Struthio camelus: one gene and its partner. The protein of the gene in region 1 interacts with the protein of each later gene in a pairwise test. Links are inferred from orthologs where the notes say so. Each region holds a gene or a part of one and is shown in the gene's direction. Other genes may lie near its edges.

Region 1 (7,691 bases):
GAGAGGAGTCTGGTCCCAAATCAGGAGTGGGTCCTAATGCAAGCCCTGAAAAAAAAACTACTAAATCAAAACGGAAGCAACCAGACCATCTGGCAAATCTGGTCCTGAACTCTAAAAGTTTAGAGTAAAACAAACTTCTGCTTAACCCCAGATTAACAGGAATGCTGACACTATTACAATGTTTGTGTTTACTCAACTGAAGGGGAAAAAAGAAAAAACACATTTCTCAATCCCCATCACTGCTGGCTAGTAACACCTGCCTGAGTAGGTTCAGTGTGATTATTAATTACGTATCAGGTAATAGGATTTGTGTTTAGAAAGGCATAAGCTCAGCTCTTTGACCTTTAAGCATCTAATTCTCAGCTATCTTAAAGAGTGTTAGGCTTTAATGTATCTAGATATCTTGAGTCTGACCTACTCTGCCTTACCCTTCCCACAGCAGCACAGACCAGCTTCTTGTCTTATTCTGAGAGCCTTTTCAGCCCAGGTGAGGCTCGTCCATGGCTCGTAAGCCTTTGAGTTGCACATCCATTCAGCCAACTGTCTCCCCAAATGACTTCATAGCTCCTCCTGTGACCCTTCATCTGTACTGAAGGATCGCCCTGCAGCTGGCACGAAACAACTGGTGCTCTCAAGCCTAATCAACAGTCAGGCTGCTGAGCAGAAACAGCGGAAGCTGTTTGATGACAGGCTTTGTGCCCACACTGCACCCCACAGTGCAGCAATCCAGGTCAGCCATGGGGTAGGACTGACGCCTGCAACGCAAAGCTCTCTGAAGAGGAGACGCCATCTTTATGCCATGTGCGTGCAGAACCTAGGGCAGGAGGACCGTGCTCTCCACTGGGATGCCTAAGCCCAGCCATTTTCTGCTCAAGATGGGGAAAGAAAGCAAAACCCAAATCAGCATTAAATTATCAGCTAAAGAGATTGTTTTGTCCCCCTTGGTATGTTTAATAACCTGAAGCGTGCTACTAGTGTCGTGCGTCAGGACTTTAAGCAGCTTTTTAGTTTGATGGCATCCCTTCAGGGCTTTGTTTATTGACACTTCAATGACAGGCTCTTCCACAGCTGCAGCTGAGCCCCAGAGTATCTGCCTGAATTAAACCTTGCCTTGAAAAGGCAATAAATACTCCTTGCACATACACGAATACATCTAGTACAAACTAACAGCAACTAGTATACAAGTTCACATTTGAGAGGCTGGCCTGCAGGCCAAGCAGTCAATACATGGAAGGAAGAGGGGCTCAAGATTTCTAGTCTAGCATCTAATATGAGATTTCTCTATCTGTAGTTGTATTTTATATCAATCAAAGACAATCCTTACCTCCACAGATATCCCACGGGCACTGGGCCCCATTGTAACCGTGCCCACCTTCACCAAGAAGTCACAGTACTGGTAGCGGGTTCCCCGGCTCTCTATCTTGTTCGCCTTGGCATTTTGGAAGAAGCCTTTCAGCTTCACCATAAGGATATCAAAGTTGGCATCTGCTATGAGGCAGGGACCATTTTCAAAGAGAGCGAAACAGCTGAGGGGATATTCAGAGTTGTGCATCACATACATCAGCTTGCCTGTCTGCCCTGAAACAAGAGCAATGATATATGGGCTGCAGAAACAACAGTCCTGTGCTTGTATGTGCTTTTAAGAAAGAAACATCTCTTTGCTTTCCCTTTGTTTTCCTTGCTGCTTCAATTCTAGGATCCTTGTATTAGTCTCACACACTTTACGTTTTCTGAGTGTTCCGGAGATAGGTTATATTTCCCTCTTAGGGTTTAAAACTAAAGGAAAAAAAAATCTCATGCAGCCACTCCTTGCCCAGGGACAAGACGGCAGTGCAACTCAAGGGCCAGACTTGGATGTTAGATCTCCAGCAGGATGAGAGGGTCAGCAAAGAGCACCTGCTCCCCTCCCAGAACATGGGGCTGTCCTCTTCAGCCCTGCAGTAAAGGGAGAAAAGCTGGGTTTTGCCTCATCTCCCAGTCGCTGACCAGCCCCACAGAGCTAGCAAAGGAAGGAGGTGCCTGGGCACATTCTGGAAAACAGGACATCCAGAGAGGATGTGCCTAGCTTGTACAGTGATTCAGAAGTGGAAGAGGATTCTCATTTATCTGTGTTGGTTAAAAAAGCCTCTCAACAGATGTGATTGTGCAAGTTCCAGTTCCAGCTCCAGCAAAAAGCCCCTCTCATAGCTTCAAACCTGCAGACACATCCGCAAAACCCGACAGCAGGGCAGCTGAAGCAGCACCCCAGCTGCACCAATCTGCCTGGGAAGAGCGGTGAGGCTGGAAGGGCTCAGTGCTGACCTCTGCAGCCGCAGAAACACTGGAGGGATGTTCACACTGGTTTTTAAATGCTGTTAAAAGCCACATGCTTGGGAGGGAAAAGGAGGGGAGCACAGTCCCCCCAAGTGAGCAGATTAAGTCACGTCTTTCAGCTCTCCCGTTAGGCCCTGTGATGTCCAGAGGGAATGCCAGGTCCTCCAAGCACATCCCCCGGCCACGACTGGGTCATTTCACACCTCAGAAATTCCCCTAGAGCTGCTCACCACCGCCTGCCTGCCCTGGGGAGCCTGCTTTCTTCTCTGCTACCACCTCCTGCCCTCGATCGCTCACCCTCCTGGAGAAGAAGGGCAGAGCAGGTGACAGCAACAAGTTGCTCTCAGGAGACTCCTGTAACTTAGCTGCTGTGCAAAACGCAGCCTCCAAAACAAGTCACCAACAGTAACGCTTTAAGAAGCCTTAGGGAAAAAAACACTGCCAAACTGGCAGCTGGTTTTTGACCACTTATCTTATTTCACACGCACAAAAGAGAGATCCTACACAGCTGCTGATATTCCAGTTAAGAATCCTTAAGCGCTGACACAACACAGCTATCCTCAGTGCAGGAAAGGACAACCGTGGGGCATGTGTGTAACAGAGAAAACAGCATTAGTGAGACACAACAGGCTCCCAAGTGGAACGGCGCGTTTAGTCATTCAACATGTCTGTTCCAGGGCAGCCCACGGCACGCAGCACCCAGCCGCGGGGCCAGCGGAGCTGTCGGAATGACCTTCCCCGGCTCTCTGGGGACGATGCGCAGGGGCGCTATGTTTCCCAAAGCTATTCATCTGAGAGGGGAAGAGGTGAACTGCGGTATGAATCTTTCAAGGTAGAAAAAAGCTTTTACAAGCAGCCAGGCAACTGCCCGTTCCCCACAAGAGCTCAACACAATAAATAAAATGATGCTGACTTGTGGAAGAAACCTCAATTGCAGGGCAGAGCGGCGATCTCGCACGTAGCACGCGCTTGTTCCACAAGGGACCTCGCTGTTACTGCAGCCGGATTTCGCTACCAGCACGCTGGGCACGAGATGAAAGACCGAGAAACGCTCACGGGAGAAGAGAAGCCTCCGAGCTGGCACTGGATGAGAGCCTGCAACCACCTCCCTCCCTTTTACCGCGACCGGTCTCCGGGGGACCGCAGCTGCGGGGCATGCCCGGGGGTGGCGGCAGCGGGGGGCCGGCCCTGACCTTGGTTGCCCATGGTGGAGGCGGCGGTGTGGTAGGTCTCGCAGTCCACGCAAAACGTCCCCTGCTTCTCCGCCCCCAGCAGCTCCAGCTTCCTCGTCAGCATTTCGACCGTCTGCTGGACGCTCTTGCCCTCGGCCACGGGCACCTGCGCCACGCTGCGGGGGGAGGCGTCAGCGGCGCCTGCGAGCCCGGGGACCCGGCCTGGCCGCCACGGCCCCGAGCCAGGGGGTTAACGGCACCCGGGACGGGGGGAGGGCCACGGTGTCCCCCCGTGACAGCACCCACGCTGGGGGGGGGCCATCTGCCACAGCCTCCCCGTGACGGGGCCCATGGAAGGGGGGGGGACAGCTCCCGCTGCGGCCTCCCCGTGACGGGGCCCACGGAAGGGGGGGGGACACCCTCCGCTGCGGCCTCCCCGTGACGGGGCCCACGGAAGGGGGGGGACACCCTCCGCTGCGGCCTCCCCGTGACGGGGCCCACGGAAGGGGGGGGACACCCTCCGCTGCGGCCTCCCCGTGACGAGGCCCACGGAAGGGGGGGGACACCCTCCGCTGCGGCCTCCCCGTGACGGGGCCCACGGAAGGGGGGGGGACAGCTCCCGCTGCGGCCTCCCCGTGACGGGGCCCACGGGAGGAGGAAGGAACACCGCAACCCCCGCAACGAGAGCACCCACGGGGGAGGGAACATGCAGTTGCCCCCCGGCCAGCACCCACGGGGGAACCGTCCGCCGCAGCCCCCCGAGACGGCACCCACGGTGGAGGGGAGAGGGGGAACCGCCTCGCGCCCCCCTCCCCCCCCCCGCCATCCTTACCACGTGACGCCCATGGCGCGCGGCGGCGGCGGCCCCGGCAGCGCCGCTGCCGCGCGGGGGCCGCGGGCGGGGCGGAAGTGACGTGCGGGGCGTGAGGCGGCGTGTGACGTGGTGCCTGCGGCGCCGCGCGCGCCCTCCCGGCCCGGCCTCGCTCCCCCGCCGCCGCCGCCGCCATCATGCCGAAGGCCCCGGCCCGGGCAGGGCCCCGCGAGCGGGCGCCGCCGCTGGCCGAGCAGATCCTGCGGGCGGCGGCGCCGCGGCCCACGGCGCGCGTGAAGCGGCGCGGCGCGGCGGGTGGCGATGATGATGGCGGCTACGTGGACTCGCGGCTGTCGCGGCGGATCCTGGAGCAGGCGCGGCGGCAGCAGGAGGAGCTGGAGGCCGAGCACGGCCCCGGCGCGCCCGCCGCTGCCCTGGGTGAGCCCCGAGGCGGGGTCGGGGGGAGGCCGGGGGGGGGGGGTCCGGCCTTGCCCCGCGCTGACCCGGCCCCGTTTCACGCAGGCCCCGCGCCGCCCGGCCCGGACAGCGAGGAGGAGGAGGCGGCGGCGGAGGAGGAGGAGGAAGAGTGGCCCTCGCTGGAGCAGGCCGCGGCGGGGCGGTGGTGCCAGGAGGTGGCCGTGGACCCCGAGGACGAGAAGGCCATCGAGATGTTCATGAGCAGGAACCCGCCGCTGAGGTGGGCCGGGGGCCGGCGGGGCGCCGGGCCGGGGGCCGGGGACCGACGCTTGACTCACTCTCGCTTCCCTTCGTCCCGGCCCCAGGCGCACGCTGGCGGACATCATCATGGAGAAGATCACGGAGAAGCAGACGGAGGTGGAGACGGCGATGTCGGAGATAACGGGTTGCCCCATGCCTCAGCTCGACCCCCGCGTCCTGGAGGTCTACAGGGGCGTCCGAGAAGTAAGGCCGAGGCGGCTCCGCTCTGCGCGGGGGCCCGGCGGCGAGGCTGCCTCAGAGGCTGTTCTGCTACAGCCCGTAGCGCTCACCTGGCAGCGATCGCTGCCGAGCCCCCCTTTCCCTTCGCTGGTAGTAAGTACAGCGATCAGGACGTGTTCAAGGAGAGAAGCTCAGCTGGGGGTAAATTGGCATTTTCATGAGCAAAGTTGCTAATCTCCTTGCAGTGAGACACCCTGGGAAGCCCGAGAGAAACCCCACACCAGAAATGGGAGGGTGGTGTGATTAGTTAGCACGGCCCAGACAGTGCTTCCCTGGGTGTGCTCTTTCTCTTCAAAATAAATTAACTGCGATTTACATAGTGTCATTCACTGAAGACCCCAGAGTGTTTCTGAATGACTGAATCTCAAGGTCATGAAACAAATCCTGACGAATCCCCATGGTCCTGCTGTCAGTTCCACTATATCACTGCCAGGCTTGCATCCATTCCTTTTTTTGTTTTTTTTTAAGGTGCTGTCCAAATACAGGAGTGGCAAACTCCCCAAGGCATTTAAAATCATTCCTGCCTTATCCAACTGGGAGCAGATCCTGTACATCACAGAGCCAGAGACATGGACAGCAGCTGCCATGTACCAAGCAACCAGGTAGAATTGTGTCTGGGAATTACTGATTTTTTTTTTTTATTATTCGCTTCATCTTTCCACAAGCGAATACCAGATACGCAAAATGCCAGTCTGTGTCCTGCTTTCCTGTTCCTTTGCATGCCAAGGTGGAGGGAGTCATGGGGATCTCATAGCTGATGCCCTGGCTCAGGTACTGCCTGCAGTTACACACTCCCAGGACCTCTCTCCAGAGACAGACAGATCACAGCTTGCTTTGTGCTTCGCTCTTCCCAGGATATTTTCATCCAACCTGAAAGAAAGGATGGCCCAGAGGTTCTACAACCTGGTACTGCTGCCTCGGGTCAGGGATGACATCGCCGAGTACAAGCGTCTCAACTTTCACCTCTACATGGCTTTGAAGAAGGCTTTGTTCAAGCCAGGAGCCTGGTTCAAAGGTAGAGACTTCCCACAGGGTGATGGTTTGTACATAGGAGCCTTGCAGCCATACAGCAGCTGGGAAGCTCAGCAGGGGCATGTGTTGCACACTTGCCTTGTAACAGCACACCATGCTGTGTGTGGTGCGATGACTTCTGTCACGGCTGCAGCAGCCCAAGGGGTTGGTGGGAAGAAGGAGGGCAGAGAAGAAGCAAAAGAGATGTAGAGACCCCCTTGGGCCCATTTGCACCCTTCTGTGCTGAAGGGCAATGGGTACTGGCGGGTTACGCAGGTGCTGCCAGCAGATACTGGCAGATACTTGGTTTCTTTTGGAGGTCAGTAGCCCATTACAAATTATCCTAGGCCTGATCTGCATATTGTCTAGCAACCTGAGGATGTTTGGTGCTAGATGCATGGAGAAGAGGGTGGAAAGAGATATTGAAACTCCCATAACATAAACCAATGGAGGATCCTCTAATTCCTGGAGTCAGATGCATCCGGGGATAGGAGAAGGCAGCTCTGCCTGCTATGTTTAAGGACAGCAGTGTCTAACACTTTCCCCCCCGCCCCTGGCAGGGATCCTCATCCCCCTGTGCGAGTCGGGGACCTGCACGCTGCGGGAAGCCATCATCATCGGCAGCATCCTCACCAAGTGCTCTATCCCTGTCCTTCACTCCAGGTAACGTGGCAGTGGGGCCCTGCTGCCATGGGGTACTGGGAAGGATGGGCAGGGGGAACGGTTCTCCCTTTGTGATGCCGGAGCGATGCAATGGATCTGTCCCTAAGCCTCTCTGGCCTCTCGGAGACAGAGAAGGTTTCACCCAGCTCTGCCTTGTCTGTGCAGGGCTGAGGTTCAAGGCTTCCTGCAGTGCTGGGGCTGTCATCCGTGTGTCTGGGACCCACTGGGGCAGGGCTCAAGGGACAAGCTAACCTGGGAGAAAGGGAGCCTTCAGCTGTCCACGTCACGGGTGCCCCGTAGCTCTTGCTTGGCCTGCAGGTGCTGAGGCCCTGCCACACCTGCCCTCACCTTGGTGCTCCCTCCGTCCCCACAGCGCAGCCATGCTGAAGATTGCTGAGATGCAGTACAGCGGTGCCAACAGCATCTTCCTCCGCTTGCTCATTGACAAGAAGTATGCACTGCCCTTCCGCGTGGTGGATGCGCTTGTCTTCCACTTCCTGGCCTTCCGCACAGACCAGCGGGTCCTCCCTGTCCTGTGGCACCAGAGCTTCCTGGCCTTCGCCCAGCGCTACAAGGAGGACCTGTCCTCGGAGCAGAAAGAGGCCTTGCTCGAGCTGCTCAAATTCCACTGCCACCCACAGATCTCGCCAGAGATCCGGAGGGAGCTGGTGAACTCCAAGACACGGGATGTGGAAGGGCAGCAGCCTGTGGCCATGGAGTGAGCAGGAAGAGGTGGGGAGGCAGGGATCTGCTCTGAGAGCTTG
Region 2 (7,905 bases), on another chromosome or scaffold:
TCTAAAAGAGAAGCTGAATTCAATTTACAACAGAATTGTAAATGTAGGAGAGGTATTCGAGCACTGTAGATGACATTTCTGTACATTTGGGAACCGATAGGTTTGTGTCCCTTTCCAGGTCTGTGCAGAACAATTGCTCTAACAGTAAATCATAGCAGTATTAATATGCCGTATTTTATAGATCCAACTGTACCTTAAACACTGGACTTCAAAGAACATGTATTTTCTGTGGCAGAGCTGAAATACACCATGGGTGCTCAGTACTAAGAATCCTTGGGCACATGACTCCTCCCACTCAAGTCTGCAAGGACACCTCTGAGATGACTCCAGTAAGGAGGGCTTGATGATCCAACCACCACAGGTTCCTGGTGCTTAAACTCCAGTGGGATTTTATTAGGGTGCAGTAAAGTCAAGAGGTGCTTATGCACTGAATTTGTTAAAAGAAGGATTGGGGCCATAGTCACCTGAAATTAAATTTTGGTCTTTCTGCCTTTGTAACTTGGATTCATTGGAATTATTTTGCAGTATATAATGAAGTGTCAGCTATCAATAGGCACTGGGCCAGTTCCTGGACTTTTATCGTTTTTATTAATTTGGTAAAAAATAGAAACAAATTGTGCTCAAAGTATCCTGCTTGAATTTCAATAAACGTTCATATTTACGAGTAAAATAAAGTAAACAAAGCTTATGACTTGATTCCCCACTGCCCATCATGCTAGATAGTTACTGATAACTGTAACAAATGGAGGTGAAATGTTACCAGCTTAGAATTGCTGGCGTTTATAAAGCTCACTTTCCACATGCATAAATGACTTTCAAAAGATGTGAGGCTTTGGGGAATCAATACCCTCAACTTTTCAGTTTATGCAGTGTTTATTTTGCATAATAATTATAAAATGAATGCCTCTACTTGTATCTTAGTAACTTGACTTAGAGTGACTGAATACGATAACTTTAAAGAAGCGACTGATCTGATACTGCATTCTACACAGGATATCTGTGAATGTAAATTACAGTAATTGTTACAAATTAATGAGATAAAAACCCAAGAAGCAGCTATCTGCACTGTGGTATATACTTATACACACACACACACAAGTATATTTCAGTATTGTCATCTGAAAAAGAACATGCATTATCTTTTTTATGCAGTACACACATTATGCTTGTGTTTTATGTTTTTACTTAACAAGCAAAACATGTGCACTGCCTAGTTGTACAGTACCGTAGGATACTCTGCTGTGCACAATTCCAAGTGCCTTAGAAAACTGTTTAGCTTTTTGAATTACAGATATGAATGAATATATACAAATATAAAATGAAGAAAATTACCTCAATAAAATTGTTCAGAAAATCTTTACAGAAAACATTTCCTTCTTGAATCTGTAGCAAGTACATGGGTGTGTATGATGGAGTAAACTGCAGAGAGCAGTTATTTGTTGGAAGGTGGTCTCCAAAGATTGAATTCAAAGTCACTGCATGCAAATGAAATGAAGGAAGGATCCTGAAACCTTCCTTTTCATCTTGGGAGCCCTTCACACACACCTAGTAGCTCTCTTGGGGGTGGTCTTATTCATGCAGAGGTGTGTTGAAGTGCTGATAGGTTAAAAATACGTAGTGTACTAGCTCAATAGTGCAGAGACCTAGTTTATGCTCCCAACTTCACAAGTTCTGTATTAGTAAATCAAGCAGTTGTTTTCACTAGCTTCAGCAGAATAACGTGATTGACATGAGAACTGAATTAGAATTACACCTACTGCATTTACATGGACAAGACTGATCCGCGCAGCTCAGGGTTCGAACTAGTCTGCAGAATGTCTGCCCATCTTTTAACGTGACAAAGTAACTGGCAATAACTTTCGCTTTGTAGTTATGTAACCAACCATACCTCCTGTTATTGCAAGAACTAATAGCAAAAATATTTAGCATAAGGTTCCTCAAAAGGAAGGCAGATTGTTGATAATGTTAAAGAAATTTAGGCTTCCTGGCCAGATTCTAATCTCTTTTAAACTGAAGTAAATCCAGAGAGAATGAAGTCCAGAAAGTCTACTACATTTACTCAAGGATAATTTAAATTGCAACATAAGCTAGGGTTATTGATATGTCATTTATTCTACATTACTAAACACTTTTCTGGAAAGAACAGTAATATATTTGAACAAAAGCTTGCCTTCTTTTCCTGCTTATTTAGTATTGAAGTATAAATGTTAAGCTTTGGCTTTTAAACCAAATGCCTTCTGAACATCTATTTGGTAATTAAGGCAGCTAAACGTACAAATAATTTCTGTGGATTGCTCCAGTATACTATTGTGTATACAGTATACTCCCTCTGCGGTGGGACCATTCTGATACTGAGCATTCTTCTTCCATAAACGAAATAGAAGTGGTTAGTGAGCTGACCCCCTTTTCTCCCCACCCTCTGTAAATGCTCTTTGTTGACTTGAAACTGCAAGGCATCTCAGCAGAGAACACAGTGAGAGAGTACACCAGTACAGATGACCTTGTAGGGCTTAGATGAGACTAGAAGTTTAAGTGGAGTCTCCATCTGAGAGACTCCTGCATACATATTTCACATGCAGGTGATACTAAACTCTGAATTTTGAAAGATCAGACATCAGTTGGAAGTAGATGAATCACCCTTAGGTATCAAAAAAGGAGGTACATCAAACACCAGGAAGATGTTTATTACTGCTAATCTCACAATTTTAAAACTAATATCTAGATGTATTACGGTTGAGATGCAGAATCAGTCTTCTGAGATAAGGGAGCCTCTTCCTGTAGTCACAGGGCAAACATATAGCCAAGGTTATTCCCCTTAAACACGTGGAATCGAAAAAGGAAAGACACAGTGTGGAAATGAGTTAAGACAGAAAACCTTGACTTGTAAAACACTGAAGAGGTAAATTTAATTTGCCCCAAATGAAACAGATGATTAGCAAGGAAGCTAAGAGCAAAAGCTAGTTCTTCCAACTTGCAGGCTGACCAATACTCCTAGACCGGATTTTAAATATAGGGTATGAAAGTATTGTTACTGTTGGGTAGGAGGCTGTCCAATTCTCAGTACGAGGGGCAATCCTCTTACCGAGTCAAGGGACGAGTACTTTGCACCATGCAGCGTTCTGCAGGGATACTAGAGTTAGCTCAGGAACCTGGAAGCAATAAGGACTAATTTACTTTGTAACCCGGCAGAGAAATGCTGAGCACTATGTTTTTAACAGTTTGACTATTCCACTCCCATTATCCAAGTTGCCTAGTTAAAAGCTAGCTCAGCTCTATCACTGGTTTTGCACCATGGACATACTATAGGATGGGAGTTAGTCCTGTTCAGTGCAATCCTGAAAAATCTATTCATAGCATGCAACCAAAGGGTTGCTAACCCTCCAGACTGAGAGGCGTGAATCAAAGTTTCATGTGGCTGAACGCCACAAGATGACCACCATATATTTTTAAGACGCAAGAGAAAAGGAGTCTCTAGGCTTTTCTCAGAAATAAGCAGGGATAATTTGAATCCCCCGAGTACAGAAGTCATTCATGGAGCGGATCAGATTAGCTCATCCATTTCCGTGAGATTAACGTGGTGAACCTCATCTTAAAGCTTCAAGACTTCAGAAAACAATAGCAGGAAAGCGAAAATCTGTAGTCTTTTGGAGCTTTAGTGACACCTAGTGAAAAATACTGACATTCACTGAAACATGATTCAAGCTCATTATTATTTTAAGGTATACATACACATTTATTTGGGTGTTCAGATATACAACCATAATATGTGGAACGGTTATTTTAAAAATAATTATTTCTTAGATATCAATAACAATTCTTTCAATAGCTTTTTTTAATTTTTGTAATTGCCTATACACACATAGAAGAAATTCCTCCCGTTTTGTAGCTTACAATTTCTTCTGAAATGCAACAAAACAATTTTACCTAATATGTCTAAACTGCCAAGCATATTTTTTCGTAGCGAGGAGTGTGCGTCTGTGCCCGCACTTGTTTGTGCACAAGTGTGCCCGCGGGCATGCTATATGGCACAGATAGTTTATCTAGTGACATAAGGAGAAAGGACACTGATAATATAAATACATAAATTATACGTATAGCTCTTATTTACACCTCACCCTTCAAATTCGGCCTGAATATAAACTAGCTTGGAGCAATACTGGAAAACTGTGTGGCAGGGACCTCTGAAGCACCGCTAGCTGAAGACCCCCTTTCTGCTGGGCAGGAAGGCAAGTCCTGCCTGTGCCTTCTGCTTAACATAGCTTCTTTATAAAGGTTTATGGTAGTTCCTGAGCGCTCGCCACTTAGTGACGGGAGTGAAATGACTTCAGTTTTTCATACCCTTTCTGTTCTCTCACCTCCTTCACGTGGACAGGGCAGGTATGCCAAGCAGCCAGTCTCCTTTTCACAGGATTCATCGGGGGATTTTGTTCGTGGGCGGGGGCGGGGGAAGGATTCGCTATTGCCGTTGGGGGGGAGACGGGCGGAGCAGAAGATGACCAGCAGGACAGCGCAGTGCCAGCCGCCCCGCACGCCCCGGAGGAGCCCAGGCGACACCGGCGGGACGGAACCGCCGCTGGCGGCCACGCAGGGGGCAGAGCCCCACACACGGCTGAAACGGCCCCCTCCTGCCCCGCGCCGGCCACGCCCCTAACGGCCACCCCGCCGCCGCCGGGGAGGGGGGCACGCGCCTCCCTGCCAGCTAGCTCCGCCCCCCCGCCCTCCCCCTTCCGGTGCGCGGGGTCGGCGGCTGCGCACGCACCTTGCCCTTTGGCCCGACCGAAGCGTTCCGCCGTTGCGGTCCCCTGGCGGGCGGAACCATTCTCCACAAATTGGGGAGGGGGAGAGGGAAGAAAACGCGGATGCGGAGGAGCTCCTTCTGCGCGTTCAGAAAGCCTCTTTTTCACTCTGAAAGTTATTTAGCCCGAGAAAACTCCTGCTGTTCTCGTGATTGCGAAAAAACAACCCGCCCGGCGTGGCAGCCTGTCGGCTTACCCCCCCCTCCCCCCATGGTCCCTGCTTTATCCCAACGCGGAGGCGGCAGCCGCGGCCGTGGTGACGCCGCGGCGGTTCCCGGCCGGGCCGTGTGGTAGCAGCGCCCAGCACCGCCGGCGGGCAGCGCCGGCCGCCCTCGCGCCATGGTGAGCTGCAGCCGTTGCGGGGGAGGGGGGGCTTGTGTCGGTCGCCCCTGCGGCGGGGAGCCGGGCGCTGCCTGTCCCTGATGGGGGGGGGGGGCAGAAGAGGGCGCCTGCAGCCGGTAACCGTCACCCACTCTCCCTTACCCCACTTTCACCCCCTCCCCCCCCAATGGTTTTGGGTTGAAATTGGGGGTTTGGAGGCCTGGTGAACCGTCTCACTTGCTGGGCTGGGCTGGGCTGTGCGGAAGCTTTTTCCTCGGCCCTGTAAGGGTTCAGGGCGCCCCGGAGCTCCGGACCTGCGGGAGGGGCGGGTGCGGCGGCCCCCGGAGTGGTGTTGAAGAGGAGGTGGGCGGGGGTGGAGGGGGCAGCGTGCCGCGGCCTGTGCCGCCTGCCTAGGAATGGTTGAGGCCTGCACGAGGCGAGCACATGCTCCTGGAATGATTTCTGGGTTTGCCATAGGCCAATATTAAGAGGTGGTGTCTAGTTTTCCTGCTTGATGTCCTGCAACGTCAGTGTTTTATAAGCACTTCACTTGTATCACCAGTCAGCAGAAAGTTTGTTCGTAGGGGTAATATGTTGTCTGCTTCCCAGAGCTGATTACATCTCATTTTATGATTATCCTAAGATTTTAAGATATAGGATATTTTTCTTTAACTAGAGATACGTTTTGGCAGTTGATATGCTCAGGACCTTGATGTTAAATGGTGTGTAAGGTTTTATATGTTAAAAGAAGATTAGGTTACATCAGTAAGATAGTCTTCAGGTTACATATATTTTCTATCAATACATGCTAGTAGGTAAACAAAGCTATAAATTTTGATAAAAGTATTTCTTTCAGTTAGATGTGCTGACTTGTAGGAGGGGCTTTTACCCACGTAAGAAAACTGCAGATTTTTGTTGATCCAGAACGTGAATGTATTTGTGGTGTTCAGGTTACATCTGCATAGTGGTGTAGTTGATAATTGTTGGGGTCGATGGTGAATACGTAGAAATTGCATTGAAACATCTATCTGAACAATTTGCAAGAGGCTGTGTTTGTCTAGATGAATTTGCGCCTATCGGTTTCCTGTGTTTCTGTGATGAAGTTTGTTTCAGATATGCCCCAGTGTTTAGAAAGCAGTTACATCTTAGCATACAGTCCTGCAAAGGGATTTTTTAAGTATGTGCCATAATCAAATACTTGTTTCATATTCGTATATTGCCGTTTTACAGCTGAATACGGTTGCATGTGCTATTGGAACACATGAAGTAACTTCATGCTCTTCTGCGTGTGGGCGGAAGAGTTGAGCGAAATACAGCTAGTCTCTTGCTTTGTCTCTAAGTATACGTTTTAAGACTTTATGTTAATAGAGCATGTTTCAGGCAAAAGATCCTTTTTGGATGCATTTTATATTTTGTTTTTTATTAACGATTAACATAACCAAATGTTTTTTGCAGCCTCACAGGAGGAAGAAGCCCTTCATAGAGAAGAAGAAAGCTGTAACATTTCACTTAGTGCACAGAAGTCAGAGGGATCCACTTGCTGCTGATGATACTGCACCCCAGAGAGTTCTGCTGCCTGCGCAGAAAGTAAATACTTGCTTTTACTATTGAGGTTCGGATAGGAAATGCTGCACTGGAGAAAGATGGGTATGGAGTCTTACAGTTGAAGTACATGAGAGAAGATGGTTAAATGCCGGTGTTCAGCTGTAACTTGTTTGTAATTTTTGCCTGATACCCTAAGGAGGTGAAACGTGAATATTATCTTTCTGACCTGTTTGTGTATTTGGTCTCCCTGTATATACTATACGCATCTTTGAAATGGTTCAGAAGCATCCTGAGAGAGGAGCAGAAGTTCTGAAAGTGTTTTGTTACAAAGCTTTCAGAAAAATCAGTTGTGTGGAGAGCTAAAACTCTGAAGATGGATAGAGATAGAACATCTCTCTGTTCTTTTTGCTAGCCAGTTAACATACACTTCTGAACAAGCTTTTGTACTCTGGGAATGTGGAAGTGGGTAGTGAAATAGGAGACAACAGAGAAATAGGAGCAAAGATTATTAAAAGGAAGGCCATGCGAGATTGTGGGAAGGTATAACTGGGACAGAAAAAGGGGACGTTGTAGGGGATTTGATAGTTGTGAATTACTGCCTAATGGATGGAGGGATGGCTAATTGGCAGTAGGGATACAAATATATTAAAAACAACCACAACAAAAAATCATCTCACCCACCCTGAAAAAACAGGCTTTGTCAATTGTGCTGCTTATGAAAAAAGTTGCTTAAATTCCTGCTCAGACAGCGTCTAAACGCTTTACTAAGCGGTTTCAACATTCTAGTTGGTTGTGTGTTAGGATGATGTGTGGAGAGAGGACTGTAGGGACTGCTGTGGAGTCAATATAATCTGAACCAATGTAAAGCGATTCACTGCAGAGAATTCTTTCAATAGCTTATTCTTTCAATACTGAGGATTGTAAAAATTGTGGTTCAAGTGCTTTCCTGGAAAAGTGTGGAGCACTGTGCTAGTGGTCCAGTTAACTTAAGTACTAGTTCTTGCTTCTAAAGTACACTTTTTTTCATGTAAATGAACTTATCCAGTGGTGTTTTAATCAAGGATTTCCTTTTCAGTACGTTTTCACCCTACCCCGAACCTAACTTTGTTATTATCTTTTCTATTAATTTCTTTCCTTTTTTTAAAAAGAATTTAGGCATTCTAATTGCTTTGTTGCTTTTTTTCTTTCTAATAAGTTTTAAATAGGCTAACTTTTGCAATTTTATTTTATTTTATTTACAATT

The links. The genes of interacting proteins can lie anywhere in the genome.
Region 2: the proteins of BYSL (region 1) and LTV1 interact in binary tests that used the Homo sapiens proteins (3 or more experiments, as listed by UniProt). The two-hybrid records come from large-scale screens. The link is inferred for Struthio camelus from reciprocal best matches to the Homo sapiens genes BYSL and LTV1.

Annotation. Positions count from the first base shown.
Region 1 is NC_090965.1:6,381,620-6,389,310, forward strand, and holds the start of BYSL (bystin), read left to right. Parts: upstream 1-4,466; 5' UTR 4,467-4,493; coding exon 4,494-4,734; intron 4,735-4,818; coding exon 4,819-4,993; intron 4,994-5,078; coding exon 5,079-5,217; intron 5,218-5,721; coding exon 5,722-5,855; intron 5,856-6,107; coding exon 6,108-6,268; intron 6,269-6,824; coding exon 6,825-6,927; intron 6,928-7,300; coding exon 7,301-7,649; 3' UTR 7,650-7,691. Other genes in the region: MED20 (mediator of RNA polymerase II transcription subunit 20), read right to left, coding at 1,325-1,578, 3,507-3,661, 4,318-4,331. UniProt on the Homo sapiens protein: Required for processing of 20S pre-rRNA precursor and biogenesis of 40S ribosomal subunits. May be required for trophinin-dependent regulation of cell adhesion during implantation of human embryos.
Region 2 is NC_090944.1:77,174,355-77,182,259, forward strand, and holds the start of LTV1 (protein LTV1 homolog), read left to right. Parts: upstream 1-4,487; 5' UTR 4,488-5,135; coding exon 5,136-5,138; intron 5,139-6,572; coding exon 6,573-6,704; intron 6,705-7,905. UniProt on the Homo sapiens protein: Essential for ribosome biogenesis.